Linked DNA regions of Schizosaccharomyces pombe. The protein of the gene in region 1 purifies or fractionates together with the protein of each later gene. This does not show direct contact. Each region holds a gene or a part of one and is shown in the gene's direction. Other genes may lie near its edges.

The links.
Region 2: the proteins of coq12 (region 1) and mcp60 purify together in Schizosaccharomyces pombe (affinity purification with mass spectrometry, with the first as the bait; one study listed by BioGRID). This does not show direct contact.
Region 3: the proteins of coq12 (region 1) and SPOM_SPCC622.06C purify together in Schizosaccharomyces pombe (affinity purification with mass spectrometry, with the first as the bait; one study listed by BioGRID). This does not show direct contact.
Region 4: the proteins of coq12 (region 1) and ppk6 purify together in Schizosaccharomyces pombe (affinity purification with mass spectrometry, with the first as the bait; one study listed by BioGRID). This does not show direct contact.

The regions. Positions count from the first base shown.
Region 1 is NC_003424.3:3,879,052-3,887,149, forward strand, and holds coq12 (NADH-dependent flavin oxidoreductase), read left to right. Parts: upstream 1-3,363; 5' UTR 3,364-3,475; coding exon 3,476-4,210; 3' UTR 4,211-4,569; coding exon of another isoform or gene 4,570-5,040; 3' UTR 5,041-5,205; downstream 5,206-8,098. Other genes in the region: SPOM_SPAC1071.13 (uncharacterized protein), read left to right, coding at 2,294-2,611; protein tyrosine phosphatase Stp1, read right to left, coding at 4,570-5,040; SPOM_SPAC926.02 (uncharacterized protein), read left to right, coding at 5,493-5,636, 5,793-6,980; protein Ina22, read right to left, coding at 7,046-7,219. UniProt on the Schizosaccharomyces pombe protein: NADH-dependent flavin reductase that acts in the coenzyme Q biosynthetic pathway. Required for synthesis of the p-hydroxybenzoic acid (PHB) precursor to form a quinone backbone.
Region 2 is NC_003424.3:337,426-346,023, reverse strand, and holds mcp60 (protein Mcp60), read left to right. Parts: upstream 1-3,926; 5' UTR 3,927-4,168; coding exon 4,169-5,917; 3' UTR 5,918-6,258; downstream 6,259-8,598. Other genes in the region: efg1 (rRNA-processing protein), read left to right, coding at 1-185; RNA-binding protein Cip2, read left to right, coding at 895-2,625; SAGA complex/transcription factor TFIID complex subunit Taf9, read right to left, coding at 7,141-7,632; rcl1 (rRNA processing protein), read right to left, coding at 8,505-8,598. UniProt on the Schizosaccharomyces pombe protein: May participate in assembly and/or disassembly of proteins imported into the mitochondrion. HSP60 are ATPases and have affinity for unfolded proteins.
Region 3 is NC_003421.2:1,405,491-1,412,587, reverse strand, and holds SPOM_SPCC622.06C (uncharacterized protein), read left to right. Parts: upstream 1-3,257; 5' UTR 3,258-3,403; coding exon 3,404-3,772; 3' UTR 3,773-4,500; downstream 4,501-7,097. Other genes in the region: histone H2B Htb1, read right to left, coding at 1-104; hta1 (histone H2A alpha), read left to right, coding at 666-1,064; SPOM_SPCC622.07 (uncharacterized protein), read right to left, coding at 2,705-3,091; SPOM_SPCC622.04 (uncharacterized protein), read right to left, coding at 5,489-5,911; SPOM_SPCC622.03C (uncharacterized protein), read left to right, coding at 6,221-6,619.
Region 4 is NC_003424.3:2,770,115-2,779,171, reverse strand, and holds ppk6 (serine/threonine protein kinase Ppk6), read left to right. Parts: upstream 1-5,734; 5' UTR 5,735-5,958; coding exon 5,959-5,968; exon of another isoform or gene 5,969-6,015; coding exon 6,016-6,064; exon of another isoform or gene 6,065-6,159; coding exon 6,160-8,236; intron 8,237-8,276; coding exon 8,277-8,468; 3' UTR 8,469-8,557; downstream 8,558-9,057. Other genes in the region: nucleoporin, WD repeat Nup132, read right to left, coding at 1-1,553, 1,618-1,801; tRNA 2'-O-methyltransferase Trm13, read left to right, coding at 2,596-2,921, 3,001-3,037, 3,089-3,832; etf2 (electron transfer flavoprotein alpha subunit), read left to right, coding at 4,244-4,354, 4,427-5,080; telomere length regulator Rif1, read right to left, coding at 8,600-9,057.

The DNA.
Region 1 (8,098 bases):
ATTTTCTTTCCAATCTACTTAATTGCCAATTAATTATATGCTTCTCATCCTTATTATTAAAGCACTTTTCTAGCTGCCCTCTTTCTTATCCTCTATTTTTCACCCTCTCTACTTACTCTCGCTCTCTATCTTTTTTCCACACTCCACCGTATCCTGTGTTATTTGGAATGGGAAAAATTTCTGACCGCTCGGAAATCCACTTTCATCCGCTAGCTCCAGCATCAAGGCCACGAAATAATCATTCTGCCGCTATGCCATCCATCTGCCTTTGTTGGTGTTAGTTTCCTTTTCCTTTTCCTTCTTCCCTTGCCATGTAAACAAAAGACGTAGTATACATGCGTTCAATGTCATAAACACCGTCGCTCATTTTCCATTTACGTTTGCACAAAAAAAAAAAAAAGTACAATAAAAATTAAAAAAAAAAAAAAAGGTTTGACCCCCCAACGTAATCCCATCTCCTCTCATCCTATTCCATCTCATCCATCATCCATCCACCTCATCCCATTCTTCCCGCCCGACTCCAATTTCCAACATCATTCTTTGCATTTTTCTCCAACTTTACCCCATTGCCGCTGGCTTACGCTTGCTTACCTTGTTTTCAATACCCAACCACCTCATCCATCATCATCATTATTCTGCCTCCACCTGACTTGTCAATTTCCAGCCATTAATCGGCATTCGCACTTTTCGTCACACTCCCAAGTCATCAAACCAAATCTCATCGCCTCTTATTCTTCTTCATCTACTCGTCTTTTTCCATCTCCGCAAGGTTGCATGCTAAACGGAAAGGAACGTCAGAGTAAAAACATTGTATGGTAATTCATCCATCCATTCATTCATCTACTGCCTTTTTGCTGTTTGACATACGTTTTCTCTCTCATTTCTTCTTCTCCAAATTGCATGCTCTTACTACTCAAGCTATATCTATATCTCCTTTAATTAACCTTTTGCCTGTTTCACTGCCCTCCATCGGATTTTCTTGAGTCCATGCCATGTGCATTCCAATATCCAATCTACCTTAAACAAAATTGATTTCGAATAACGATTTGGAGTACACTCATTTCTATATCGCTTAACTGAACCGTACTGCACTTCTCAACCCTCCAGTGTACCGGATGGAAGGCAAATCTCAAATTTTTTTCATTCTCTTCTAATACCCAAGCATAGGTAAATCCTTCACTTCTGCCTTCTTAACGAGATTAAGCGATATTGCGCTACAGCTCTTTCGGTTCCATTGAATTCCCGTTCGGAATTTGGCTTATCTATAAAAGGCACTCATACCGGACACAATCACGACTTTTGTGTCACTTGCTTTATTAGGTAACATGGACTCAAATTTTTAGTGCTGTCTGGTATAGTGCACTACTCAACTGTTACGGCAGGAATGTCGCTGGATACACTTGTTCATACAAAGTGGATTTAGCGAGAATGACCGTCTTTTGTAAAGTAGCTGTTGACTTGTAAAGGTTAAAAAAAAAAAGGGTAAATAATATATAATGGATGATGGGCTGTAATGGGAAAATGGGAATGATGGGTTTGCTGAAAAGAATACGATTCTAAGTTCAGTAGTGTTACTGTAGGTTGAGATGTTGATTTTGGAAGAGTTGTTCATTATTTTGTAGGTTTTGTTACATATTCGTTTCTATGTTTACCTTTTTGTTCGTTGATATCAGTTATTGCAATTTTTTTAGCTTTTCATCTTTATCTTCATCAAACTTTCTTTTTGCTTATTTTCTTTTATGTTTATGCTAGTTATGAATCACACAATACTCTTTCTTTTTTATCCCTTTACCTATTATCTCCATCGGCCGCGTTGAAAGCGACACATTTCAAGTAATGATTGCTTTTTTTCTTGTTTCAATTTGAATCGCAAACTTACCACAGAGTGCTATTGCTCGCATCTCACTTCCATAACGTCTTCTACACGCTTATAGTCTTTCTGTCTTTGTTATACCTCAGCTCATTCCTTTTCCTTCATATGGTATCTTTAATTCTAATACTTTATTGCATAATATAACAAATTTATCTGCTATACTATTATAATATCCACATATGCCACAATAATCGCCTTCTTGATGTATACGAGACTTTGTATTCCATAAAGCGAAGAAAAAAAAAAAGAACGCTCTACTTTAAGTGGATCTCTGGGTCATTTCCATCTCCTCATGATTCATTATATCCTCAATGTTGCTGTGCGACAACCCTATCTGAACAAATAAGCTACACTTCATACAATCGTTAATCAATTTTATTCATTGCATTCCTAATGTAATTAAAAAAAAAAAATGAAGAAATGGGGCGATCCAATCATCTTTTCATTTTCATTCATTGGAAAAGTCGGTCTATTTTTTCTGGTAATAATAAAGTCTACCGTTTTTCTAATTTGTATGTGCGAACCAATTCATGGCAAAAAGTGCGCCATCTTGAATCACTCCATACGAATGCGTATATTGTGCCTTTGGAAATGCGCCTTATAATAATGAAAACAAGACAAACTTTCAAGGTGCATGGTATGAGAAAAAGGAAATATTATTGGAAAAACGACTACATGCGTGGAAAAAATAGAAATGGCAATTTGCCCACAAAAAAACATCAATCAAAAAAAATGTAAATAAGATAAACGATAATTTTCATTCAAATCTAATATGAAATAAATTTAATTATCAATACTTCAAGTAATTCATACAATATATATATATATTTTTTTTAATATTCTTTTTTTTTAAAATGAAATTTCCATGTTATACTAATTACAAATTCCAACTGTCCACGTTACGTTGGTTTATTTGTTTTAATTTTTACATTTATTTTATTTCTTATTTTTTTAAATTTTTTACTCAAGTATACATATACGCTGGTTCAACGTTCTAACTTTTACATAGATGCAGACTTTTTTTTTCTTTGGGTCAGTATCTTTAGTTATTCTGTTGCTACATATTTTGATAGTCAATGAATAGATGAATCAGGCTTTAAAATTAAATTTTTTCGTTTTCCTATAATTAATTCATTTCTCTACCACTACTCATCAGATTCGCTGATTGATTTGCATCTATCTTGTAAACAACAATTTTTCGGTAAAAGAATAGAAATTTGAATCCTTCTCTCATGTTTCCCTTAAATGTTTATTTTTTCAAGTTTCACATTAGCTTCTATGCACGAGTATAATTTCCCAATGAAAATGGAATGGTAAACAGTATCACAAAGTACACCACTGTCCTACAACCTCGTCCAACTTTCTTTATATCTTTATTGAACATAAAAGTTTGAAAGGTTGTATTGAATAATCAAATAAAGGGGTTTTATTTCCTCAATTTGAGTAGCACGAGTCACTTTTATATTCGCTGTCCACAGTTGGTCGATTTTATTACCAACACTAAAGGAGTTCATGACTATACTACCGCTTTCTGGTCGTTTGCCTTTTTTCCGTGCTTAAGTCAAATAATATTATATACTTAATAATTGTTTACATATTTTGATGTCAATCCGATTTACTCATTGTTTTACTTCTTCCTCATCATTGCCCTGCTACATACTTCGACATTTGCCTTTTTCAAATTTCAACCGCTATTCTACCGCTTCCCATGATAACGTTAATGCTTTTCGCCTTTTAATGCGTAGGTTCGCACAACCAGTTGTCATCATCACGAGTGGTTTTGCTGATGGTCATCGTGCTGGCATGACGGCCTCATCCTTTACGCCAGTTTCTCTGACGCCAAATCCAGTAATTTCATTCAATATAAAAATTCCCTCTCGTACAGCAAACGCCATCCAACAATCCAATCGAGTAATCGTTCATCTTCTGTCTAGTTCAATAAAGAAGCATTCCGAATGGGCTTCCTTACTTGCCAAACAAAAACATCAAATCAATCCTTTAATGAATTCAGAGAAAAACTCTACTTCTGTAGAGGATCTTCCAGGAAGCAATCGTACACAGCAAACATCTTCACATTCTCTTCTGCATCCCCTTCATCCAATCGATGTCAGTCTCAGTAAAGAAGGTCTTCCATGTCTTGTTGATAGCTTAGGGCTCTTGCACTGTTCAATAATTCATTCTTATCAAGTACAAGATCACATTCTTTTCGTTGCGAACGTTGAGCGTGTTGAACATGGCTCTAGCCCTTTAGAATCCAGCTCAGGCTTAGTTTATTATAATCGGAACTACTGCAGCACATCCCCGTTAAGCCCTATTATTGATTCTTTCGAAAGTTAATTCTTTTTTTGAGTTTGCTACTTATGCAAGTAATCATGCCTACTTTAAAAAATGATTCAGCCAGGAATGTTGGGTCCGTGTTCTCCATGCTATTTAATATTCTTTCTTTTATATTTTCATTAATTTATGTGTACTATGTATTTCTTTCTAGGGTATATAGCTAGAAAGACTTACGTAAAGAAAGGTTGTACGACTTTATTCAATTGTTTTTATTTTTTGATACAGTTTTTGTAAAATAGGCCAGTCAAAACGTACGCAACTAAAAATCAATATTTTAAATTCTAGAAGCATTTCTATCGTTGGATTTTTGGGCGAACTTAATACCTTTAAAAGCTGTACATTTTCTATTCAAACTTAAACTAAGCAATGGATTTGAGGAAATTTTGAGAAAAATCTACTAATTGGATATAGCAATCTCCAAAACCATCGCTTCCTCCATAATAAGGGTCATCAACGATTTTTGAAACTCCTGGACTAGCATATTCTCCAAAAAGCATGACTTTAGCACGGCTACCTTGAGGTTTAACACGATTAATGTTTCGCAAATTTGACGAATCCATTGCAAAAATGTAGTCAAAGTTTTTAAAATCAGACGTTGAAAGTTTCCTTGCCAAATGTTTGGTATGAATGCCATTCTTTTTAAGTACTTCGAGAGTTCGTGGATCAGGTCGATTTCCTACATGCCATGCACCAGTGCCACAGCTATCAATGGTGTCAAAACGTGCCTCGAGTCCAGCCTTTTCTACTTCATTTCGAAAAACTGCCTCAGCCATTGGACTTCTGCAAATGTTTCCCAAGCATACAAAAAGTACTTGAATATTCTTGGTCATAGTTTATAGTATATTCTTGGGATTTTTGATGAGTCAAAATTTCCTCTTCTATTTGTAATGTATAGATATTATAGAAGGTGTAAGTTTAAATGAAAGACAAGCGAATTTTTACCACAGTTAATTGGTAATAAAAAAGTTTGAACTTTTGGTAGGTGCACCTCCCGTTTTTAACAATATTGAAAAATACTAAAAAGTAACTACAATGTTTCCAAATATTTAAGGAATGTTGAATGTAAAACGAAAGTGATCGTATTTTCACGTTTCAAGGTAGTAGAGGAAAATGCAAAGACATGTCAAATTAGTGCAACCTCAATTGTCCATTACCAATTAATGTTGACTGTCACAATCTTTTATTTTTACTGATTACAATATATTGCATTTTATTTCTCATACATAACTTTTTTATTTTATTTTGTTTTAAGCATTTGCATACATTTTTTGGAATATCAGATATGAGTTTCTCTAGAAATCAAGTGCTAAAAGGACTAAAGACGAAAAAAGCCAAACCTAAGAAAAACCCGACTGTAGATGAACTCTTTGAAATAGCTATTGATCTAGAAGAAAGTGGGGATCGCTGGCGATTGGAACCTGCAAAGGTATGTACAAAGCTATAATGGTGAATTTCAAAAACGTTTGAACATGATCATTCATACGAATTGTAATATTAGTTTTGAGAAACAAATAGAATTTACGCTTTTTTGCGCCGAGTTCTCAATACTTGAGCACGTGAAATTAAAACTAACAAGCAATAGTGTTTAAGATTTTATCAAAAATCCCTTGAAACATATGATAGATATTTATTACAATGTCCGAATGATTTTGATGCTCGTTTTAATAAAGCAAGATTGCTACTCAATATGGCTACAAACTGCGATATGCTATACAAAGATTCACAAGTATGCCTCCAGAAAAGTATTGAGATGCATAAGCACGCCTTATTATTACAAGAGGCCCCAGATATTTGGTTCAACCTTGCGCAGGTTCATCTTAATTTGGCTGAGATTTGGGTGGATCTTGATCGCGAAGATTTGGCATATCCTGAAATCCAGCAAGCACTGCAATCCATTTCACATAGCATTGATTTACAAGAACGAGAAAGAATTGAATGGGAAAATACTATACAAACATCGTCGCAACAAAAATATGAAGAAATACCTGACATACAGGCTCGACGATTATACTTTATAGAAGCAGACAAAGAGGCATCGACATTAGTTACCGAAATTGCTTCTTTAGCATGCAGTTGCAAGTTACTTGAAGAATCAGATTTTGAGAAACTCTGTCAGATAATGCTACCGATTACGGAAAAACTCGATATATTAAAGCTAATGGACTGGTACTTGGCGAAAACCAAACGTTTAGTACTTGGTGGTAAAGAAAATGAGGTGGCATGGATTGATTTACTGCAAGTTTTTGACCATCAACTTAGCCAATTACCACAGCTAAACTTGCAAAACCCGTTGGATCCGAACTCGTCTGTTAAACCTTTGCATATTCAATTGCTGTGCGACAAAGCCGATGCATACATAGACTTTGCAGAGACGCTACTAGATTCCTGCGTATCTACAGAAGAAAGCGCATCTATTGAAATAATGACTAGAGCCTGGAATATGTTAGGAGTAGCTGCCAAAAGTTTAAAGATGGCTAACACTTACAATCCTAATCATGTAAGAATACTCATTTCTAGAGCTGACTTAGAGATTCAACGTGCAGCTATCCCCATCATGGTAGCTCAAAACTCCAAACTTGTGTTGTATAAAAATGCCAAAGTATTATACGAAAAAGCATTCCGTGATTATTCAACCAAAAAGACAACAAGAACGTTTGCGGAGATTGTCTTAAAGCATTATCAACTACAGAAATTGACCAACCCAGAAACGATTAAGATGCTGGACTCCTTAACTGAGGTTGCTCAAGAAGACATTCTCAATACCATTTAAAGAAACAGACGTTTCTTACTTAATTTGGCAGGCTAATTAGTGAATCCAATTATAAATATAAAGTTTTACTTTGTTTCATTACTTGTATCATCAAATTCATGTTTCGCTAGCCGAATTTTTGCATCGTATTGTTTCATACGCTCCAAATGATCTTGCTTCAGAGCATTCAGATGAAATGCTTCGCTACCGATGATGAGCCATAATAGCCCGAACGTATACGTTGATGACCAACGTAACATGGAAAAAATTGACTTTTAACTAAAAAAAACTGTTTCTAATATCTTTGGTGTGCAAGTTCAGACTCAGTATTTGGAGTAGCTGCTGTAATTAATCGATATAATATAAATCACAAATGATTGAGCCTTTTAAAGGCGTTGAACACTTAAGAATCAAAACTCCAAAATACCGAAAGACAAAGAGAAAAAGAAAATCAATATTTTTCGCTCGAAATAAGGATTACCATTAAGACAAGTTTTGACTGTACGGAACTGTGTAGGATAACGGTAAATCAATTTTCTGCAATGCTTTGATATTTATTGACTTTCATTAAATCTCTGTAAATCAGAATTTCTATTGTCTATCTAGTTTTGTCCATTAAATCAGAAATTATTCAGTTTCTATTATTGTTACTTTTTATTTATAATAAGGATTTGTTTAATTCAACCGAATAATGCTAGTTGGTTCTTAAAGTCATACTCCTTATTTCCTTCATTCCCAGCCTACTCAGTCTTTGCCCGCAAAAAGATATTTCAAGGCCTATTTGATTTAACTCATTTATTCAAATTTCACTTTTTGTTAACTGAGTTTTACTTTTGTTCAACCTTGACAGCTCAGCGAAATTAGTGTAAATAAATAAAATCAAAAGAAGCGCTAATTCAAGAGGCCTTTTTGATTCTACTTTTTACTGTGTATACAACTTATAAATGACATTATATCCTTGACAAATTTGCTTACGTTTGTTTCAACTTTTATTAACCCCTCGAAATTAAATTATTATTATGCTCATGGCATTGTTGATCAAACATTGAGATTTGATTAAGCATATAAAATAATAATCATAAGAAATAAAACACTATGATAAATATAATTCTTCTAAATGTATACTAAAAAAAAAAATC
Region 2 (8,598 bases), 3.5 Mb from region 1:
CACTCTACGCAGAAGGCACATCTGAACAGACCGAAGAAACTCGAAATCGCATTTGGGCCGAGATGGAAGAACGCTTTAATAGTGGCAGAAAACACAAAATACCATCTTCAGGTTCCAACAGGGTTCCTGTACAGGAAAAAAGTTCAACTGGTGGTGATTTGGAAGATGAATTTTTGCAAAGATAAATGAAAACTTGGATTGAGGTTTTGGAAATAAAGGGATTAAATAGACGAAACTGTAATAATATGATTCATTCTTTTTAATAAAGGTTGTGAAGTTTCCATATGAGTTATCGAGCAAGGTATTCTTTTTATGCAAGTTTATTTAAATTTTTTCTATGTCATATTGCAATGGGATTTGCTAGGGTACCAAAAATAGAACTTGTGGGAGAGAAGCTTTTGGATCCTAAGGTTCACTGAAGATATTTTTCACATATTTCATTCTATAATCTAATATGCTAAAATTCGAATGATATTTCATGGAATATCAAATTAATAAAAATATAAATTTACAAGAATTTAAGTAAAAACAAAAAATTAGGACTTTCATTTTGTTCTGTTTTAGGTGGTCGAATTATTAGACAGTTTAATAGTCTTTATCATTGCAGCAGTGTTTTTAAGAGCTCTTAGATGGACTTTCGGTTTTATCATCACAGTACCCTGTTATTTGCCTGGCAAAAAGTTACCTAGTGGGGGTTTAAAAATCAACACCAGTATGTAGTATATACATTTTATAATAATTATTTTTACATTTGCTTCTATAGATTGGTATATTTGAATTTATGGGTTTAAGACCTCAATAATATGGTGTAGTATATTGACTTTGCGCCCTTGGTGGTGTCCACGGATACCTAACCTCCGCACCACACGAAGTTACGACTTGTTTAGTGTCGATATGGCTGAGGGCACAAGCCAAAGGCCATTAACGCCTTTGTCGCAGGCATTTTTGTCAACTAATACTCTTTCTCCTGCTTCTTCCCCTTTAACTTTCCATTCTGAGGCTGCATCTCTGCGTAGAAAACGGTCCAACTTTTTCCCCAAATTAGATGAATTAAATGGAGCTCAAGATGAAGAAATGAGAGGTCTTAATATTCCTGGAGGATCAGGATATCTCGAGAACCGATATGGTCGTGATAAGTTTACGTTTTCTGATGCAGCCGTTAACAGTGCTGGAATGGGAGGGTCTGGCATATTTTCCCACAACAATGCAGATGATGGTTTGGGTGATGGTTCTTCTACGGTTTTACCAAGTTCCCTTAAACAAATGCTGGATCCTGAAATTTCAACTGCCAATAATCCATCTGCAAAGCCTCGTCGAACTCGTCTTCAAACTGCTTGGAAAGAAGCAACTAATTCAGCAGGCCTTTCTCTCCGGTCTGCAAGTGCTTTAGATGTACTCAAAAATTCTGGACCTGCTACTACCTCATTACTTTCCTCAACAACATACCCTTTTGATAGTTTAAATGCATTCAACGAACCATCCCATTCACATGTACCAAACTCAGCTTCTAGCACTGCTCTGTCTAGAGGTATGAGCAACTCTGTAACTTTGACGGCACCCCCTGAACCTGATGAAGAGACCATTCCTACCGCGATTGTTATTAAAAATATTCCATTCTCCTTGAAGAAAGAAGTGTTGTTTAAAGTGTTCACTGCATTAGACATCCCACGTCCATACGCTTTTAATTATCATTTTGATAACGGAGTTTTTAGGGGCCTTGCCTTTGCTAATTTCCATTCTCCAGAGGAAGCCAAAACGGTTGTGCAAGTTTTGAATGGCTATGAAATTACTGGTCGTCGTCTTCGTGTTGAATGGAAGCGTCAACTACCGCCTGCGGAGCGTGAACGTGTTGAGCGTGGTAAACAAGAGAAACGCGCTGTAGAAGAACGAAAAAATCAATTGAAATCTCCGTTTTCTGTTGCCAATATAGGTGCTGGCATTGATTTTGATTTGAATGATCCAGCTATACTCAATGTATATTCTCATATCTTGTTATTTTATTATCGCAGCGATAACACTAATGATCTTGTATTTGATTCTTCAACCACCCAGGAAGAACGTCGGGTTGCTGCCTTATTAGCTTCCCGTCTCAATCTCAATCATTCAGTTACTGGTGACGGTGAAGCTAAGCAAGTGGTTATTACCATGCCTAGTACTCATTTTACTCCCGCTAATAATTCGAGTGCTAACCACTCTCCTTTGATGGCCCCAAACGCCAGTACTTTAAATCCTTCTTCTTTAGGTGCTTCCAATTTGAGCCAACCAAGTCTTGCAAATCACTTGAGCTCCTCTGGTTTATTTGACAATGGTCTTTTCTCGTCCGGTGGTCTTTCTAGTAATTTTTCAAGTCTTAGACGACCCGCTCCCTCTATGCATCTTGCGGATAGCATACGTTCTCTCAGAGGACTAAATGATTCTAAAGCCTTTTCCGACATACGTAGTATGCCAGCTACTCCGTTAGAACTTGCTACTCCTTTTGCTAATTTAAATGTTTCCTCTCCACTGGATCGCAATGCGACTAATTCATCAAATACTTTAAACGGTAGTGCGATGAACGATTATTTTGCAAGCCTTACTCCATCAAACACCGGTGCTATTGGATCCAGAACTTTTACAAAGAATTAGTCTTGGATTTTTTGTTTTTCCCTGCTTTTGATTAATCTTGTTTTGGCTATGTCTCGGGTTTTATTAAGTTTCATTTACCTTACGATAATAAGCGCTTTCAAGCAAATTTATACTTTGTACATAAAAACGACGAGTGAAATTATCTCAATGAATTATCCATTTTTACGACCTAGTGTTCAATTGAGGACATGATTTTCATGCTTATATCGTTTACATACTCACTTCGGATGTGCATGTGATCGGGCTCATGCTTTTAAACTATAATGTGATTCTTGTAAAACGAAAAGGATTTAATTTAATAGATGATATTTTTCTCTCTTCAAAGTCACGTTTATGATTATTTTGAGAGGAATAAAATGGAATTTTCTTTTGTGAGATTTTTTTAAACTTTTGTATCGCAAATCCGGTTTGACGATTCGTATACTGGGATACGATGCTTGAGCTATACAGCAAAAGTCTCAAATAAAATTTACGATAACCGATCTTACGTGGGATGTTAATGGTGTTATTTGCAATAATTTGTTGTTTTGATTGTGTTTTGTTCTTATGTGTAGGACCTTTCGTTACTATCAATACCTTTTCAATTTCTATATCTCATATGTTTTGTACGGACCCAGCTTGTTCACGTTAGTGTCACTCGGTTTTTAACTATTACGAATGATGGCTTCATTTTAATGGCTGTTTGGCTAATTGTGCCTAAATTCTTTTCCGTGTTATTGATTTGATAATGTGTTAAAGAATTCAATTTCGATTATGAGAGTTCGGTTGTCATTTGTATGATTTTTTTCGTCAAGATATGATTGCACTATTTTTTTTTTGTTATTATTATTTTTTTTCGCACTGTTTTTAGTGGATACTTGATGATTTTGTCTAAACGTATCTCGTATCTGCTGTATCGTTTAGTATTACTTTTTAAATAAGTATAGAACATTTACGACTTTTTAATTTGATAAATTGAGTTGATCTTTCTTATTTGAATAATCACGAAGAAACGGCACATTGACCATAGTCGAGCACCGCATTTTTTTTAGAGGTTTTAATGACTGTAAATCGACTAAATGAAAACGCTCCCCGTTCTTGCTCTATATGTTTTAATTTTTTAGAAGCCGTTTAGCGATAAACAATGCAATACACTATTTTTCGATATTTTTCTTCAAGAAGCTACCAAACCTATTCTTAAAATTTGGTCGCTTTTCTATTGGCTATTTGCCGGCATGTCAATCTTTATCCCATCAAAGTTCTTTCTAGAATATCAGGCAGTCACAGTATATATAATGTCTATTATAGCTAACTTATCGTCTGCCTAGCCTTGTTTGGAATTTCATTAAGCGGAAAATAGTGAAGAGTATTTCACGTATTTTAAAACCAATAATATATCTAAAAGCTGCAAGCATTTATTTTTGCAGGGACAGCTAGCTGGTTATATTCCTAACGTGTGGGTTGTATTTGCGTTAGATAACTTTACATTTCTTTATATCTCTTTTTGGGTGCATTAAAAAAAACCATTTTTTACAACTTCATTTTATTTCATTAATTAAACATAATGGTGAGCTTCCTTTCTTCCAGTGTATCTCGTCTACCTTTAAGAATTGCTGGTCGTCGAATCCCCGGCAGATTTGCCGTCCCTCAAGTTCGTACATATGCTAAAGACTTAAAATTTGGTGTTGATGCTCGCGCATCTTTACTCACCGGTGTCGATACTCTTGCTCGTGCCGTATCTGTAACTTTGGGACCAAAGGGCCGTAATGTCTTGATTGACCAACCTTTTGGTTCCCCTAAAATCACTAAGGACGGTGTAACTGTCGCCCGTAGTGTAAGTTTGAAAGATAAATTCGAAAACCTTGGTGCAAGACTAGTTCAGGATGTTGCAAGCAAGACTAATGAAGTTGCTGGTGATGGTACCACTACTGCTACTGTTTTAACTCGTGCCATCTTTTCTGAGACTGTTCGTAACGTGGCTGCCGGTTGCAACCCTATGGACCTTCGCCGGGGAATTCAACTTGCTGTTGATAACGTCGTCGAATTTTTGCAAGCCAATAAGCGTGATATTACTACTTCTGAAGAGATTTCCCAAGTCGCTACCATCTCTGCTAACGGTGACACTCATATCGGTGAGCTTCTTGCTAAAGCCATGGAACGTGTTGGTAAAGAAGGCGTTATCACCGTCAAAGAAGGGCGCACAATAAGCGACGAATTAGAGGTTACTGAGGGTATGAAGTTTGATCGTGGTTACATTTCTCCTTACTTTATTACCGATGTCAAATCACAAAAGGTTGAATTTGAAAATCCTCTTATTCTTCTTTCTGAAAAGAAAGTGTCTGCTGTCCAAGACATTCTTCCCTCTTTGGAGCTTGCCGCTCAGCAGCGTCGTCCCTTAGTTATCATCGCAGAGGACGTTGATGGTGAAGCTTTGGCTGCTTGTATCTTAAACAAGCTTCGTGGGCAATTACAAGTTGTTGCTATTAAAGCCCCTGGCTTTGGTGACAACCGTCGTAATATGCTTGGAGATTTAGCCGTCTTGACTGATAGTGCCGTGTTCAATGATGAAATTGATGTTTCCATCGAAAAGGCTCAACCCCATCATTTGGGTAGCTGTGGCTCTGTAACTGTCACCAAGGAAGACACTATCATTATGAAAGGTGCTGGTGACCATGTTAAAGTTAACGACCGTTGTGAACAGATTCGTGGTGTCATGGCCGACCCTAATCTCACTGAATACGAAAAAGAAAAGCTTCAAGAGAGATTGGCCAAATTGAGCGGTGGTATTGCTGTTATTAAGGTTGGAGGCTCCAGTGAAGTTGAAGTCAACGAGAAGAAAGACCGTATTGTTGATGCATTGAATGCTGTTAAGGCTGCTGTTTCCGAGGGTGTTCTCCCAGGTGCTGGTACCTCTTTTGTTAAGGCTAGTCTTCGCTTAGGAGACATTCCTACAAATAACTTTGATCAAAAGCTTGGCGTCGAAATTGTTCGCAAAGCTATCACTCGTCCCGCTCAAACCATTCTTGAAAATGCTGGATTAGAGGGTAACTTGATTGTTGGTAAACTTAAGGAGCTTTATGGCAAGGAATTTAACATCGGTTATGATATTGCTAAGGATCGTTTTGTTGATTTAAATGAAATTGGTGTTTTGGATCCCCTAAAGGTCGTACGTACCGGTTTAGTTGATGCTAGTGGAGTCGCCTCATTAATGGGTACCACCGAATGTGCCATCGTCGATGCTCCTGAAGAGTCCAAGGCCCCTGCTGGTCCTCCCGGAATGGGTGGCATGGGTGGAATGCCCGGTATGATGTAAGGTATCAAAAAAATGCCGACGTGGTTTTTTAAATTTTTACAATTTATTAAAAGCTTATGATTATGATGATTTAAATCCATTCAGAGAAATTGGCTTTAATTTTGCATTATGTTGTTGACCTTCGTAAAATTCTTTAGTTTCAAAACTAGTTAATGGGTCATACTTCTGTTAATGGATACTTATTGTTTTGAAACTTTTCATTCGGCTATTCTCATATGGTTGCTAATTGTACAATCAAACTCCTGATTTTGTTTAATGAACATAATGTTTTACCTTGTGTTTATTACACATTATAATTTCACTCTTTTTACGAATGGTATGACTTTCGACTTAAATACCAAGTTTTCACTTTTGTGTTTTTGTAAGTTCTGAATTGTGTTTACGTAAAGCATCAAGTTTCTTTATATTTCCTATACAGGTTTGTGGTGAGCTTTGAAATGGTTGAAGTATGTGAGAGATAAATGATTTTGAAAATGATGAAAATAACGCGGATGAAATATATGTCCGAGAGCGCAAAAAATGTGTGGATATTTCCGTTGCCTTCCTTCTGATTCAAAATTATTATATAACTTATATATTTTTAGCTGTCGTGCGAGTATCCCTACTATATTCTTTTTAGGGGATCTGTATAGGTCATATAAAGAAAATTAAAATGCATGATATTATGTTATCACTAGTATTGTGGTAAATTGTATTTTCAAAGTTATGATGAGAGGCAATTGTAAGTAATAAAGAAACATTGGTGCGGTGTAAATTTTAAATGAGCCTAGTAGTTGAAGAAAGCTCTCGACGAGCTCATGCCAATTTCACAGCCTTACATGAATTACTCCAGTTTTTGTAACATTTTAAGAAAAAGCGCGCCGTCACTGATGTTGTTGCCGTCTCTTTCACTTTTTTCTATTCTATGTCGTACCATATATAAAAGATACAGTGTACAGTAATGTACAATATGAGCTGAATTTAAAAATGTTGTATACTTTTTTGCTCCATACACTGATTTCGTAGCAAATAAACAAATAAACAGGTACCTTATAACTGTAAACGATTTATTACCCACGCCCTGCTTTCGCAAGTTAAATAGGAAGTTCTGGAGGAACAAAATCATATAAATAAAACCATAATCATCTGCTGCAAAGATTCGTGAGCGCTTCAAAAATATTTACATATATCTAAATCATCAGCACTTCCCCGGCATTAGTAACAACTTTAAAAGGAAAATAAATTTATTCAGACTTCACAGAGAAGTCAAGTTTATCCTCCTCCATTCGTGAATCCGAGGAGTTCTCTTCCTTTGGTTGATTCTGTTGGGTTTCATTACTGACAATCCAGTTGGGTTGAGTTAAACAGTACTTCTCCGGTGGAAGACGAAACCCATAAGACGGCTGAATTTGGGGTAAAGGTTTTCGATTTCTCTCCATAGCAAGCTCTAGTAAAAATTCTTTTGGTGGAGGTCCAGTGAAGGAGTGATTGATTTGAGAAGCAACAGCTAAACGTACATCTTCTACAGAAATTGGAGCATTTTGCCCACGTGAATGTTCCGCATAAACCTGTGAATCCTGGATTAACTGCTGTGTATATCTATGTGCAAATGTTAACAACTGCAAAGGCACTGTTTGAGAGTATGATGGAACACCCAGAGAGCTAAGTATTAGATGAATCAGACGAACGTCCTTAGGTCCTTTTATAGATTCATCACTTATTCCTGGAGAACTCATGATTTATTAAATACTATAAGTATATGCGAAGACAAATACGACTCCCGTTATTTTTCTGTTTTACCACCCAAAAAGATTTATGGTCGTTGCGAGCGTTGCAAATTGTATCCACTCAGAAGTTAGCGTGAGTCCACTGCACACCACTAAATAGCTTGTTTCAGAAAGTTTACAACAATGCTATTTTACATATACATTACTAAATATTTCGAGTCATAAAAATTTATCTAAGCAAACTTTAATTTATGCAGAAGGAATGATTTCATTAAAGCAATTCCTATCAAAGTTGCTTTTAGTATCACCAATGTTAATAATTTAGAAGTTACATAAAATTTTAGTATAAGCAGCGTAAAGTAAAAACTCTCATTTAGTAAATAATAAAACGAACAGGATCATTCATACAAAATCAATGATGATACAAATTTACTAAAAATTGGCAGTGTTTTTTTTTTACAAAAGGACATGGAAAAAGGTTGAGATTTTCAAATGAGAAGAGCATCTAAGAACTAATTTTCTGAAAAAGAGGCATCGGGAAAGAAATATTAAAGCAGAATGAAGTAGAAACAGAACCAAGTAATTTAAAGGAAACCAAAAAAATTCAAACCATAATTGAAAATGAACATAACAAGACCGTTAAAACAACTGAGTCACAAAAACGTATTTAAATCTCTAAATATGTATGGTGCTTTTTTTTTATACTCATGTCGTAATTGCAATGGGAAGTTAATGGGTAATGAACTTCTTAGTACGATTAAAGAGTAAATATATATCAAAAAGACGTTCGTTCATTTTAAGTACCCGAACAATATGTTAAATGTAATGTTATGATGTTTAAGAAGAATAAACGAGCAAAGGACCCACTGATAAATGGTTTTCTATTGAATGCGGCGATTGACATTTAAATATCCTTTTCCTAAGCATGACATCTCCACCTGGCCTGATTCGAGCTCTTTAAATCTATATTCGCAA
Region 3 (7,097 bases), on another chromosome or scaffold:
TCCTTTCTGTTTTTACCACGCTTCTTATCAGCAGACTTCATGGTATCCCTAGGAGCCTTACCGGCGGGAGCCTTGGAAGCGGGTTTCTTTTCAGCAGCAGACATTTTTTACGATTTAAAAATTGGTTGTCGAGAGAATCTCAAAATTGATGGACTGAACTAAGTAATTGCAATTGTAGGAATTTGATAATCCTAAACTTTCGTGCAATATCAAGTTGTTGGTATTAACTAACATGCCTGCAGGCGACGCGATGGTTATATACAACTTGGGCATCACAACCCTAACCCTGGTGTTTAGCCATGCGACGCGGAAACGTCATCTACAAGAACGCGTTAGACGTGCTTATACGGAAGATTAGAATTAGTATATATATGAAGGGTGCGCGCTCCTATGTCTCCTTTTCCCTATATCGCGACTTTTCGTTGTTTAGGATACCTTTTGATCCATACACGTATTGAAATTGATATAAACAATTGATCCTTAGTTGATAAGGAGATTGATTGTCCGTAAAGGCTGAAATTGCGAGAAAATTCTGTTAATTTCACCAAATTTGATCCATTCGCTGCTTCATCGTTGACTGTTATCTTTTTTCATTAAAGAAGGAAAAATCTTTTTTTTTTAACTCAAACTTTTATTTTTTTTATTTAGTTTCAGTATTTTTCGTCATGTCTGGAGGTAAATCTGGTGGTAAGGCTGCTGTTGCCAAATCTGCTCAATCCCGTTCTGCCAAGGCCGGTTTGGCTTTCCCCGTTGGTCGTGTCCATCGTTTGTTACGTAAGGGTAACTATGCTCAACGTGTTGGTGCTGGTGCTCCCGTTTACTTGGCCGCCGTTTTGGAATATTTGGCTGCTGAAATTCTCGAATTGGCTGGAAACGCTGCTCGTGACAACAAGAAGACTCGTATCATTCCCCGTCATCTTCAACTCGCCATCCGTAACGATGAAGAGTTGAACAAACTTCTTGGTCACGTTACCATTGCTCAAGGTGGTGTTGTTCCCAACATCAACGCCCATCTTTTGCCCAAAACTTCTGGTCGCACTGGAAAGCCTAGTCAGGAGCTGTAAAGTCAGTCGTCAAGTAAAACATTTTGAAAGAGGATGAAGGGAAAGACATTGAAAAGTTGTAAAGGACCTTTCTTTTTTTACAACCCCGCAATACTTTTTTTGGTTGTTTCTCGCTTCTAAACCATGTTTGGTTCTTTTTCCTTTTGAACTTTTTGCGTCTTTCTTTTTCTTTGCTGTTATTGTTTTCGTTATGCCTGAACTTTAAGGATGTTTTAGATGCAGCCAAGTCATTCTCTACTAGTTACTTTTACTAGTACTTGAAGGGCTTTTGCACAAGTAATTCCTACTTGAACTGGCTCCTTTGGTTTTTTTTATTTCTTTTTTATTCTCCCTTAATTATAATATTGTATAGTAATGAGTATATTTTTCAAAATCCTATATGAGAGTATGTATCAAATGAATAAATAGATTGTAGAGTGGAGATGAACAGATTGATGAAAGGAGTGTCATTAAACATTGAATCGAGCAGTACATGCAAAAGAATAGTACTTAATTTTTTTTTACAATTAATGCTTTTGAATTTCCAGAATTTTTTTTCGATGCAGTTTTTTTACTCTTCTTTCGTGAAACGGTAGACGTTTGCTTCTTTTGAGTTTTTTCCTTCGCCGATTTCGAAGCTCGGTCGCACCAGTACAGCACAATTCCAACTAAAAGACCAAGCATTTCATAAATTGAGAATGCTTAGATTTGGTAATTTTCACGTTTATTTTCCCTTTTTTTCTGTCTATATTTCTTATGGGCTATTTAGTCATTACGTCCAACCGATTGGTTAATGAATTGTACCCGGAACCGGTAAAGCCAGTTAACGAGAATATGTAAGCAATTTTTGGCAAGTTGGTGAATTTCACAAATTCATTTACCCATAATGCTGCTTTTATCGTTATTTATGGATAGTGATTGCTGTACGTCTCTTTATATGTTTGAAAAGAATACAATAAATAGGAAGGAGTTTGGAAAAAAATAGCTAGGTTCTTATGTAACTGTTTGATTTTTTTTTTTTTTCTTAGTTTTTTATTTTAATTTTAATTTTTGTTAGAAATCGATTTCATCGTATCTATTTAGGATTTTTCAATATTTTTTCTTTTTTGCCAATGTATTTTTATAGTTGTATGAAAATTATAATACTAATATCAGTCAATAAATAGCCATTGCAGTTTATTATTTTTATATTATATCAAAAAATATTAAAACATTATAATAAAATTTTTGCATGGCTCTTAGAAAAGCATTTATCGTAAAATTCGAGTTTGTTGGATTGTAAAATAGTAAAAAAATTCCAAAATATTGAGAATATATTCTGGCAAAAATTTCAGATTATTATACGGGAAAAAAATAGCCATAGAACAATTACAATTGTTACAGAAGTACAGAATTAAAAAACAAAAAATTTCATTACAAACATAGGAAAACTATTTGACACTACCGATACAACCAGCTGACGATGCCGTTGATTCCGTTAAACAAAAGTGTTTGAATTATTTTTAAAATGAATTAAATATATTAGTAAAAAGGTACGAAGAATTGAAGTTTGTTAAGTCTAGCAAAAATTTAGCGATAAACTTCAACAGTAAAAGGATTTGGCTTTACCAAAGGTTGATCATTGCGCTTCAGATCAATTGACTAACCATTTTTGTACTCCTTTAATCCTGTTTATCAAGCTCATCCATAAAGGTTGAAGTGTACTTTGGAGGTTCATTAGATTGACTTTCACCAACGTTCTGGTTCAATGAGTCTGGTTTGTTTAAAAACTCAGACTCAGCATCTGGTTTAGGAATAGAAATATAATAGATAATCACCGTTATTATTATACCTATAACGCCAAGATTCAAAAAAACCCAACAAAAAAAAGAAAAACCATTGTAATTTTTTACATAACACACAATGTCGACAACGTAATTGAGGAAAAGGAAAATAATAGAAATATATAGAAGCCGGTGAATTATCTTATACTTTTCTTTTGCGACCCTTACACACTCTCCGTAGGTTAAATCCTTCTTCACATATAAATGAATGTCCAAGGACGCCATATCGAAACGAAAGAGAAAGAAAGATGCAAATTCAGCTATTGGAAATTAAACTTTATTCTTAATTGTAAACATTTACCAATCTTGAGTCAACAATAGACATAGGAAAATGAAATGCCTTTCCCGAACAGTGAGATTGAAAAGGCTAACTTCTCTTCAAACCCCTGCTAACTACTGCGTGCACAATCTATTAACCACAAATAATGAAATTCAATTAAATTAAGTTTTCAGCTACTGAAAAATCCATTTTTCTTATATTTTCAAATTTCGTGATTTAAAAGTGTTCAATTAACTGCGTTTTGTTAGACGAAAGATATGAGCCCAAAGGAATCCATCGAGTTGCAAGAATTCCAGTCGCTGCTTCAGGACGAAGCATATGAAGAGTTAATTAATAAAAAAACATATGAAGCTATTAAATATCGGAGTAATGATGGTATTTTACCAATTATTATTACTTTATTTATTTTCTCTTTTGTTATAAGTCGAATGATCATATTCTTTATAAGTCTCTTCAACAAAAATACGTACTGTGAACTGCCTGCTGTAGCCGATGCTATCATAAACAGCATAGCTTTAGTGTGTATTATAGTCATACTTTACTTCAGTTCTCGCAAGCTCAACGTTGAGATTCGACGAGGTGAAGTGGAAGACTATCGAGCAAATTTGGAACGAAATCAACGATGAAAAGAACAATTAATTTTTTATATTTGAATTGTATATGGGACTTTATGCATATACCGTTTTGCTAACCTTTGAAAAACTTATCAACCGCAATTCTCTCTAGTTGATAGGAGTTTATGAATTGTAGTAATGAGAAAGAAATTTCAACATCAAGAAAAGGAAGGGAGGAATTAGAGGGTGTTTAATTCTTAAACCATCTAGTTGAGATTGACATTTGACTCGTAGGGAAAACAAAATCGACATCGAATGACAAGCGAAATAGAAAATTAAGATTTACGATGAATATACTTCCTTTACGAAAAATTATTTACATCCATTTATAGGAAGAAAGTATGACTTCATGAAATTTCATTTCGATTTTAATTGCTGAGACTGGATTCTCTAATTTTTTTTTAGGTTCTTCGCTTACATAGTGTAAATAAACACTTGGATAGGCGTATAAAATACAAAACACATCCATAGACATTAAAACACCTAGAACTGAAAACAACCAACGTAAAAAAGGTGAAGGAGAGCGCTGAGAATCAAACAATTTAGGATACAAAAAGCATTCACAAGCATAGTGGATGGATAACACTGCAAAAGAGATAACCATAGTATAACAATGTTCTTTACTTTTGATCAATCTTAGGAGCATCATCTTTAGAACGGCCATACTGTGGCCATGTTTCTTAGTTAAAATGCAATGTGAACGGCACGTGTCACAAGAAACAAGAAAAATAGAACGTTCAAAGACCAAGTAAAAATATTGGCAAAAATTGTGAACGCGGTTTATAGATTAACTCCTTCATTTCGACTCAACGTTCAATGCCTCTATCAATTAAAACGAATACAAATGAATACTTAAACAAGTTTAGCAAGAAATGGAAGCTATTTAAAAAAATGTCCAGCAAAATTCAAAAAATAAAACAGTAAAAAGTGAGGTTTGTGGAAAGAAAAGTCCGTAAATGTAACTCTTAACTAAATTGTGAAACCCCTGGTCTGGTTTAAATATTTAAATCATCAACCACAGAGAAAGATTTTCCTATTATTCGACTTGAATTGATAGCAATATTTCAATCTGATAACTGAATTGATTTTCAGACATTAGAAGAACTTTGTTGACGTGGCTATTTTGCTTGTATCATATATGATGAGTCCAAGTGAATCCATTAAACTGTACGAATTCCAGTCGCTGCATTGAGGTACTGCGTACGAAAAACTGATTGAGAAAAAATCAGATGAAATTTCAAAGGGACATCACGAAAACTATTTATGGTTTGGATTTCTTCCTGGACTATGCTACGTGGATTTCCGCTTACTCATTATGATAGCAATTATGTCTGATGGCTTTAAGTCTCTTAAAACCGTGAAAGTAGATGTGTCAGATTTAACAGTAGATTTCATTCTCAGTTGTTAGCTTGCTATTCTATAATTCTCGAAAGCTCAAATTGAGATTCGACGAGGAGAAGTTGAGGAGTTTCAAAGGGATCTTGAACAAGAGAATAACTTTTCTTCTGATTACATTCAAATGAGTGACATTACACCTGTATACTAATAATTTGAGAATACATTCAATATGGTAGTTCAAAATGGAAAAATAAATAAAATACAAATTCTTTAATTTCTTTTGTTTTAAAGAAAAAAAATTGTCACACCAAGGAAGAATATAAATAATAAACCTATAAACATAACACAAAACAAAAACAAGGTCGATGCAAATGCCAAATGGATACAAAATTAACTAGATTCAAGAATTGTTAAGCCCTCTCGCGTATTTTTTTCTTTTTCTAGTTCAACTGCAGAGGATGAGGCGTACTCTAAAGGTTCATTAGATTGACTTTTAAGGAAATCCTGATTCTTTGACTCTTGCTTCTTTCGATAGTCAGGTTCAGCTTCCGGCTTAGGAATACTATTCAAATAATGAAATCCCATAAAACTTACAAGAAGAATTATTAAAGTCAAGAAAAAATAGACGAATAATAATGAATGACTAAATCCCTCAAAATAATACTTAACATCAACAACACAATTGGCAAAAATTATGAAAAGGAAAACGTACAAGAGCCATTGAGTTTTTTTAAACACATCGTTCGCAACATCTGAACACTCCCTATAGGTAAAATCCTCCTTGATAACTATTTCAATGTCAGGTTGTGTCATGTTGATAAATATAACACAAAATTTAGCAGATATTGGCCAGAAAATGAAAATGCTTTTGCATAAGAAGAATAAATATTTATCAAATAATACAGAATATTTAGGTCGGGATTGTGTAGGCAGAGAAATTGAATATATTGGTTGAATATCAAAATCGTTAAACCTCTGGTCTTGCGCTCCAATTACTCATTAACAACGATTGTCGAAATCCTTTGACTTTTAAGCATTTTATTTCATATTAATATTTTTTCGCAATTTTTCTTGTTTTTAAACGGATTTGTTCAAACTAGCTGTTTTGCCTCCCACAAAAATATGAATCCAAAGAAATCCATTCAACTATGGGAACTCCAGTCGTTACTTAAAGGTGCCACATACAAAAAACTAATTGAAAAGAAAACGTATGAAGCCGGTAAGGAACGAGCTGATAATTATGACTTTTTGTTTATGTCTTTTATCTCCTTCATCGTGTCTTGCCGTCTTTTCATTCTTGTGTTTACTTTCATCTTTAAAGGTTTTCCATCAGCTATTCAAGTAATTGCTATGATCGATGCTGTCGTAAATGCTTTACTCATACTCATAGTACTTGCGATGCTCTTTATAGGTTCTCGTAAACTGACAGTTGAAATTCGACGAGGTGAAGTTGAGGACTTTCAAGAGAATCTTAAAGCAAGAGAAGATACATTCAACTCTTCTCCATATCAGAGGTATTAATAACACCTTCATATATCGCTTTTGGGCACCTATTCCTTTACGCCTGTTTCACTTTGTTATAAAATATTTCGTTTCCATTCCGCTGCCTTTAATCTTATTACTCCTTTAATATTTATTCAACATTTAAGTCACTACTAATCTAAAAATTAACTTAATAATTCAATACTATTTTTATCTAAAACGTATTCGTTTCATAAACTTGTCTCGTAATGCGAAATGGAAGTGTGTTGAATACATCGACCCTGAACGAACTCATCTTCCAAAATTTAGAGCACTGTTCGATATACTGGTTTGTACTATTCCTATATTTTCGACACCTCTTCATATTTCATTTTGAACTTCAATTCATTTAATATATCATTCACAGATTAATTAATAAAATACAAATTATCATCTATTCTACATGTCTGCCTCAAAAACTCGGCTCACAATGTCACCGATTATGGCATTCTCCTTATTATATTAGACAAGCACTTCA
Region 4 (9,057 bases), 1.1 Mb from region 1:
AATTAGGGAATGACTAACAGTACTAAATTCAGTATCGATAGTATTCCATAAATATCTAACAGAATTGCATTTTTCGCCCATTACTCTCAACTTGTATAGTACTTGACGATCAACATCCAGTGACATAGACCTAATATACCGGACAAGATTATTCAAAGAATTTAACCTACAGGACAGATGCTGCATTAAAGAAGCAAATAATGGGGGTAAATGAGTAGACCTTGAATTCAAGATGTCCATTCCAAGATCGACAATAATCCTTTCGAGTTCAGGCTTTTTGATGGAGCGAAGGTAATTGCAGGAAAAATCGATCGGATTACCAGGAAGGAAGGAGTAAAAAACAGCTTCTTCCAACTTGCTTTTTACGAGAGATTCGTTATTTGCAGGATGCTCCAAACTATGAACTTCTATTTCAGCGATACCAGAATAAGGGGTTGCTATAAAACATGATTCCGTAGGAATAGAGTATTTTCCTAAAACGTATTTGTAGCAAGTAGACATAAATATGCCGCCAGAGACATTAGTATTCATACGAATAACCTCTTCCCATGATGTTCTCGATACAATATCTTTATCATCCTCTTGGACGTGCACTATAATAACAGCGTCTGTTAAAACCACAAATAAAGAATTCCCTGATGATGAATAATGTAGCTTTGAAGACTCAAGAGATTTAGAAGAAAATGAATACAATGGATGAATATTCATTACCGAGGGTGAGGAAATGTCAGAAAAATCAAGAGAAATAATCATGTAACGGTAATTAATAGAATTTTTCCAACATACTAAAAAACTCACTAGATTTCCGTTTGTGGGGCATATAGTAAGGTCTAACACCTCAAGTCCGCTTGCATCGGGGCATCCTTCTCTCAAAACCTGCTTAAAAATAGGAGACAGATTCATACCAGAAACAAGCTTATTTTCCAACTTCAAATCATATATCTCTAGTAAACCAGATGCCTCAGCGACATACAAAAGATGTTGGTATGGAGAGAACAGTGGTGGGGATTTTAAAGCAATGATATGAATGCTAGGGTAGTTAAAAATCTTCATTTTCTGAAGAATAGTAGAAAAAGTACTAATATCGGAAGCAAATAATTGTACAGAAACGTCAGGTTGACCTGCAGGATCGCGCAGTTGAACAGAAAAAAGACGACCAAAATTGGTAGATATGATGAACTTCATGGGGTTTGAGCAACATAAATGCTCACATTTTTCTTTGGGGAGTAACTTTATCAAACTTTCCATTCCCTGGGGACATATATAAGATTGAGCGAGAGCATTCCCAATTGAAGTCCAATATGCTATACGACCAGAGATAGGCATTACAATCAGCAATCCAGGTTCTTTGTCAGAAGCATCAGAAGGGACGAAGGCTGTCAAGGCATTTTGCCCGGAAAAGCCATTTGAGTCCTCTTCAGGTAGCGGAAATGTTATAGTTGGAGGTTCTGCTGTTCCCAAGCTTTGACGATACGACAAAATAAAGCAAGCTTTTCGGGAATTAATTAATGCATAACCGATGTCTGTGTAGCATGATCCACTTAAAGGATGGTCTAAATTGAATAGAGATGTTAGTTACCTAGTAATGCGCACAGTGAAGAAATAAAAGCTTCGTACCGTTGATAATTTTAGAATTAAAATGTTTAAGTAGACACGAGACCTTGAAATTTTTAGATCTGAGCCAATCCAATGAATTATTATAGGCAGTGCTATCCAAAAGCGATTTCTCAACAGAAATTCGTTTCAAAGGGCTAAAAGATACGACTTCTTCATTTTTCCTTTTACCAAGGATAGAACTCATGACTATTTGACGATATCAGTACTGATACTGGCGGTTATCGTCTATTTGACTCCTTAATACCCTTAGGGATAGAATATGGCTCTGAGAAGGACGAATGTCGACGATTCCTACAAAGAAGGGTTTGAAATCAAAAGAACTTTACTTAGACTCCTATTTTTTACTCAGAATTAAATAGTTAAGCTACTGATAAGAAATTCAGAGTAAAATCAATATATCAATATTTCAAAATCGGTGTATATGTCATATACACTTTTTTCACAAATGTCAACACAGTTTGCTCTTTTGTAATTAATTATTTCTTTGCTTTGGTATATTTAAGGAAGTGATACTTAGGATATTGTCTTTTCCCGGAATGTTGTATAAAACAGAGGTTTTTAAAAAGTAGTTGCGTTCTTCAAGGTCAAGCTTAAACTACTTTTTTAGAACGCATGATCAATTTATATAAATGTTTCATGATTCCGTATTTGAATTTTTTTTATGAGCACGCCAATGGTTGGAAACATCAGATTTCTTCGTAAAATCGCACATCTGGTACAGAAAACTATAAAAGTAGTAGAAAGTTTGGGACTGGGTTGGAAACAACTGTAATAAAGAGAAAAACGCGAAAATACTTTATTTTGAAGTGTCTGAACTGCCGAATCGGAAAGCTATTTTTCATTAGTGTTGTAAATTATCCGAAGGACTGAAAAAGACCAAATTTTACAAGAAAAATAAAATTATTGTATTTTAAGATTTACTTTTGTGATCAATATTCAGGCTAATATCACTTAAGAGTTAAAAAGTTATCTAACTTGATGGCACGAATAAAAAAAATTTTTACTCAGGAAGAATTAAAACAAATCCCCTGTCCATATGATCACAAGCATACAATTGTGCGACATCGTTTAGAATATCATTTGAAGCGTTGTAACGCGCGTCCTGTTGAAAGGACCGATCCATATTACAAGAAGGACATAAATATCTCTACTTCAACAGATGCTTCAGAATCTTCCTCCTTTGAAATCGTCGATTTAAGCAAGGAAGAGTTGTCAAAATGGATTTGTTTGTTCAACAGAATTAGTGATTCTTTACCGACTCCTCAAAAAAAGGTGTTGTTTCACCCGGCAATGAATGCAAGACTGTATGTACGAAGTGCTTTCTCATTAGCTTTTTATTAAGAAGATGGTTGCAAAAGTAGAAACTAACTTCATTTTTAACAGTGAAGAGGGTACAAAAAAAAAGCATGCAATTCAGCAGGTATGTTCGACATGATTTCTTAACGGCAGTCAAAAGCATTAACCATTTTAGGCATCATTGTTAGGACATATGGAAAAACTACATTATTTTGACAACCAAGGATCTATATATTACGAATTCGGTGCTGGAAGAGCCGAGTTATCAAGATATGTTCAGCACTGCTCCCAACAAGAAAACGTATATATACTTATTGATCGTGATTCAAATCGAACGAAGCATGATAGCAGGATATTAAAAGATAGCATCAAAAATAACTGGCCTGAGCCAAAAATTATAAGGTGTAAAATTGATATTAAGGATTTGAAACTCGATTTTTTTGCTAGTGAATTTCGGAATAGTGGTAAACCTGTATTTGCATATTCTAAGCATTTATGTGGTGCTGCCACAGACCTTACCTTGAATTGCTTAAAGTCCTCCCCTCCTAATGCTCTTGTAATTGCCCTTTGTTGTCATCATCATTGCCGATGGAGAACACTTTCAACCTTTGCTAGAGAACAATTAAGTCATTGGGGAATTTCAAATCCACAAGAGTTTCAAATATTACGACAGATGACTGGGTGGGCTGTAAACAGTTTGCGTGAGCATATGCATGCTTCTGGAGGAGCCGACTCACACATCAGTGGTCTTTCTCATGAGGAACGCGTAAAAATTGGGTTGAAGTGCAAGCATATTATCAATTACATGAGAAAATTAGAATGCGAAAAAATGGGTTATGAATCTTCTCTCGTATACTACGTTGGTGAAGAAACGACTTTAGAAAATGTTGCACTCATCGCTTATAAACGAATCAACTAAGTGAATTTCCTTACGTGAGAAAAGTAAGAAAATTTTTTAAATTTGAAAAGATTGCACTCAAAAAAACTAGAATTATTTTGTACTTTTTTGAAGTGTGAGATTGCATATAGCAATCTGATAGTTAAAGCAAATTTTACTTTTTTTTAGCAATCATGATTTCTCTTGAAGTTGGAATTGTTTGGAATATGTAAATTTTGATAGACATTATTTCCTCTTACTTAAAATTAAAAAACTTCCTAACTAGTTAAACTCGGAAATTGTGCAATATTTAAATAATAAAAACTATTTTTTTTAAAAAGTATAAAATTAACAACATTAATAAATAATATGGAATATGTATGAAGGTTTCATATTCAACTTTCTACCTTCTTCAATTCCAGTCTTTGACCACCGCATAGCAATATCGCAAAAATGTCGAAAATTCGCATTTTAGTAGGAGTCAAGCGAACTCTAGACTATATGTTAAAGCCTCGCATCAATGCCACTAAGACTGCTGTTGATTTATCGGGGCAAAAAATGAGTGTATGTTGAAAGGAGAGTAATCATTTCAGTACTGCTGTAATTCGCAATTTATATTTGACTAATCGTGAAAAGATTAATCCATTTTGTGATATTGCTGTAGAAGAGGCTATAAGGATGAAGGAAACTTTGAAAAATAGAATTGAGGACACTTTAGTAGTGACCGCAGGACAAACTTCTTCTGAGCCCATTCTTCGCCAGTGTCTTGCTAAAGGAATTGGCCGAGCAGCACTTATAAATGTTGGCGAAAAAGAACTTGAACCTCTTTCAGTAGCCAAACTTTTGAAGGCAACAGTCGAGAAGGAAAAAAGTAATCTGGTTTTGCTGGGCAAGCAAGCTATTGATGATGATGCACACCAAACAGGTGGTATGCTGGCTGCTATGCTTGGATGGCCTCAATTCACTAGCGCAAGTAAAGTCCGTATTGAAGGTGACAAAGTTATCGTTACAAGAGAAATTGACGGCGGTGAAGAAACCTTAAGTAGTACACTTCCAGCCATTATTACCACCGATTTACGTCTTAATGTTCCTAGATTCGCGAATTTGGCAAAAGTTATGAAGGCAAGGAAGGCTCCTTTAGGCAAAATGTCTCCCGAAGATCTAGGCGTAACAATTGATCAAAGACTACAGACTGTTTCAGTCTCCGAGCCTGTTCAAAAGAGACAAAACATAATGGTAAAGAGTGTTGATGAAATGGTTAAGACATTAAAGGAACTTGGCGCCCTCTAAGATTTTTTCGTAAAGTAAATACCGTCTTGAAATTTGCTAGATTTCATGCTCACTTTTCTTATATGCAGAGGTTTCCCATTACAAATAAACCTTACAAGTTATTTCTTTCTTTTGTTTTTGTTTGAACACTGAACGCTTTGAATATTTGTTAAGTTAAAGAAATTCTTTGATCATCGAAATATTCGTTCTCGTTCGTAAATTTCAATTCACCTCTGTATTTGCTTTGTTTATTTCAGTAGAATCGGTATTCATATATTATTTTTAAGCCCCGTCAGTACAAACGTTATTAAACAACCATTGATTGAGTTACATCTGTCATAATCAATAAAATTTTAACCTCTTCCACTCTATAATATTTAGAATATAAATCTATGTTTTTATACTTTATTCATGAATGTTTGTAGCGTAATCTCTGCCACCAAAGTAAGCCTAATTCCTCAACCGCAAGTAGCCTTCATCACTATTTAGCCAGGTATCATGCAAGTTAGGTGTTTTCAAAAACTCCTTCCTCTTGACTATCGAACTGATTGCTAAATAGAAATCAATTTTCCCTTAAAAATTCAAGTCAATTAAATTGATTTTTTAAGCCCTTCAACCTTAATGTTTGGCTTCCTTAAGTTGTCATACTACTTAGTTCACCAACATAGACAACCCAGCACATTGCCAACATTTTTATAGACGTGTTGAAACTTACAATTTACAATTGGTTTTGATGCTTTTTGATTTCTATGTTATCTAAAATCTTTATTTTGCTTGCGATTTCGTCTGAAGAGAAGTGTTTCTGAAATCTACAAATTTTGCAGAAGAAATTGAGTAGCTCAAGCAGAACCCTATCCTCCTGAAATTATTTCTGGATAGTGTACGGAATTGATTTTTAGATGTCTCAAGGTTTGTCTTTTTGTGTCCAAAAACAGCACTAACCTTTAATTTAACAGACGTCTTTAAACATTTGACCAGCAAGCAGGTTCAACGTACACGAGCTAGGTGTGTTTTAAGATTACCAATTTTTAAATTTAAAATTGGGAGTGAAAATATTATTTATTTTTTTATATTTTTAATCTTTTTGCTAATGGATTTAGATCTTTTGGAGCTAGTTTTGAGAGACCGTTAGCATCGTTTCTACCTAAAAAGGAAAATAAGAACTTATTAAGTAACGCTGCTCGAGTTAAGCTTTTGACTTTCTCTAGTAGTTCTCCTTACTCGTTTTCTTATAGTCCGGTTCTGTCAAGAGATGCAAATGACGGTTATATCCCTTTAGATACTAGTTCGCGGGCAAATTTGTGGGAATCTGTGACAGACTATGATTTACAGCATGCCAATGAACCTCTTGTCGGGAACTACTATATTAGCACCGAAGCTTTGGGAGACGGCCTAAATCGATCTCCTTTCACCATTAATCCCGAAAAACGTAGGTCTTTGAGCGATATATCGTATGTTCCTATTCCTCATAAAGAACACAGCAATTGGCCAGTTCATTGCTCCTCTCAAGCTATTGTCACTACCAGCAACACAACATTCAGTATTTGGTCTGCCAATGACTATTTCTGTTTACTTTTTGGATATGCCGGTTCTCAGCTGAATCGGCATAGCGTTTTTGACATTTTTCCAAAATCATTTTCTTCACATCTCTCTAATTTAATTGTTTCTTTCCCAATAGACAATGAACATGAAAGAATCTTGTTTTGTGGTGATGTGTTTCCTGTTATTACTGTTGATGGTGTCCGCCTTATGGATTTTTGGGTAAAAGAAAAACAGGGTAAATTAATTTGGATTTTGGAATTTGTTGAAGAATCATACATTGATATCAAGTTACAAGATGGTGTTGCCGTCGACGAACGAACTGAACAGCCTTTAACGTCTGATCTTCTTCCTTCGAGACTACCAAAAACCTGGGATCAGCGTCTGTACCTAACTACAAAAACGACTGAAGGCTACTATTGTCCCAGTATGATATACCCCCTTTCCAAATCTTCATTTCAATATATTATTTTTCATTATGCAGCGGGCTTGCTATTTATAAACTCTGATTTTAAAATCATTTCCTTAAACGAGGCATTATTCGAATCAATGCTTGGTTATAGTGACCTCTTAACTAAAGATATATCCCTTATATTCCCGGATTTTAAATTGGTTCTGCAGCAATTAGCGGATAGTCACGCACTTGATCCTGGTAGAGTTGTTTCCGAAATACACGTTCGACATGCTTATCGTACTTGTACAGCTGATAAAATGAAAAAAGCGGACTATCCATATTTAATCCATTCGGATGGAAATATAATACAAATTGATTGCCAGATTATTTCTGTTTCACCTCATTCTGTTAAGTCTAATGAGCCCGCTTTTGGAGTATGGCTTATATTTGATTCAGTGGATAATCGTGCGTCTGATTTCGTAAGATCAATGCGCTCCTCTGTGATCTTAGAAGAAGTCGTTATTTCTGACGAGAGTGAAGAAGAAGAAGACCTTTCGGCAGACGAAGATTACGTTGATTCGGAATGGGAGGTTGTACCACACAACATCGCAAGCTATACAACTATCAAGGAATTAGGAATAGGCGCTTATGGTCAAGTAAAACTTGCAACTTATAAATCTAACAAGGTTCATGAAGTTATTTTGAAATCAATTAGTAAAAGTAGGATACTTTTGGATTCATGGATGCGAGATAAAGATCTTGGAACCGTACCTATGGAGATCAGTATACTTCATTTTTTGAAAGCTCATTCCCACCCTAACATCGTAAAAATGATAACTTTTTTTGAAGACAATGAAAACTACTATTTGTTAACTGAGCCCCAAAAGCCTGGAATAGATTTGTTTGATTACATCGAATTAAAACCATCGATTTCTGAGAAAGAGAGCAAGGCTATATTTTTCCAAATCGCATTAGCTGTTGCCCATCTGCATTCTTTTGACATAATCCACCGAGACATCAAAGATGAAAACGTAATTCTAGAAGGAAACGGATGTGCAAGACTCATTGATTTCGGTAGTTCGAGCCTTACGAAAAACGGGCCTTTTGATACATTTCGGGGTACAGTTGGTTTTGCTGCTCCGGAGCTACTAAGAGGTGAAAAATATCTCGGTAAAGAACAGGATATTTGGGCTTTGGGTATTTTATTATACACGATAGTTTATCGGGAAAACCCTTATTATAACGTAAGAGAATTATTATAATGGTATGCTAACTAATTATTAGATCGAAGAGATTTTGGACGCCAAACTTAGAATTCCTTTTGAACTATCGAAAGATAATGTCGATTTAATTTGTCGAATGCTTGATAGAAATGTGCATGATCGCATTACTATTGAAGAGACGTTACAACATCATTGGTTTGATGATATAAGATATTTGGACACATCACATATACGCATACCTCTATCCTCTTGAAACTAGAAAGTTCTTATCTATATACATATGTTATATATTAAATGCCAGTATGAACCCCATTAATAAGATTGATTTATGACTAAATTGACCCCAATGCCGGTCCGTAATTCCTGTACCCATGAGTTGAATAATCAAGCAATTCTAGATAAAATAGCTCTCTGTAATCTCATCAACAAATCACTAAGCTTCTGAACTTCCTCCGATTTTAAATCTTGTATATTCTTTTCGATTTCAAAAGTGGCTTCCGTCATTGATTGTATAATGTCTTGAGGACCAGATTTATCAAACTCTACAGATGAAACTTTGTTGGATTCATTGTTTGTATCAATGGACCCTGAAAGTAAGCTCGAAAATTGTCGTTTCTTGGAATTTTCAAATCCGTTAACTGCAGTTGTTTCATTCTCGGTTTTTTCCTCTGGTATTTCAGTTTGGCTCAAACTACTTTCATTAGTAAGTACACAAGCAGATTCGTCCAGATTCTGTCCCTGTTCTGAAATCCCATGTCGTTCTATGACTTCCACATTTTCCAAGGTTGCGGACACTTCGCTAATTGCAACTTCCTTATTCACGTTGGAAGATTGGCTCTTAC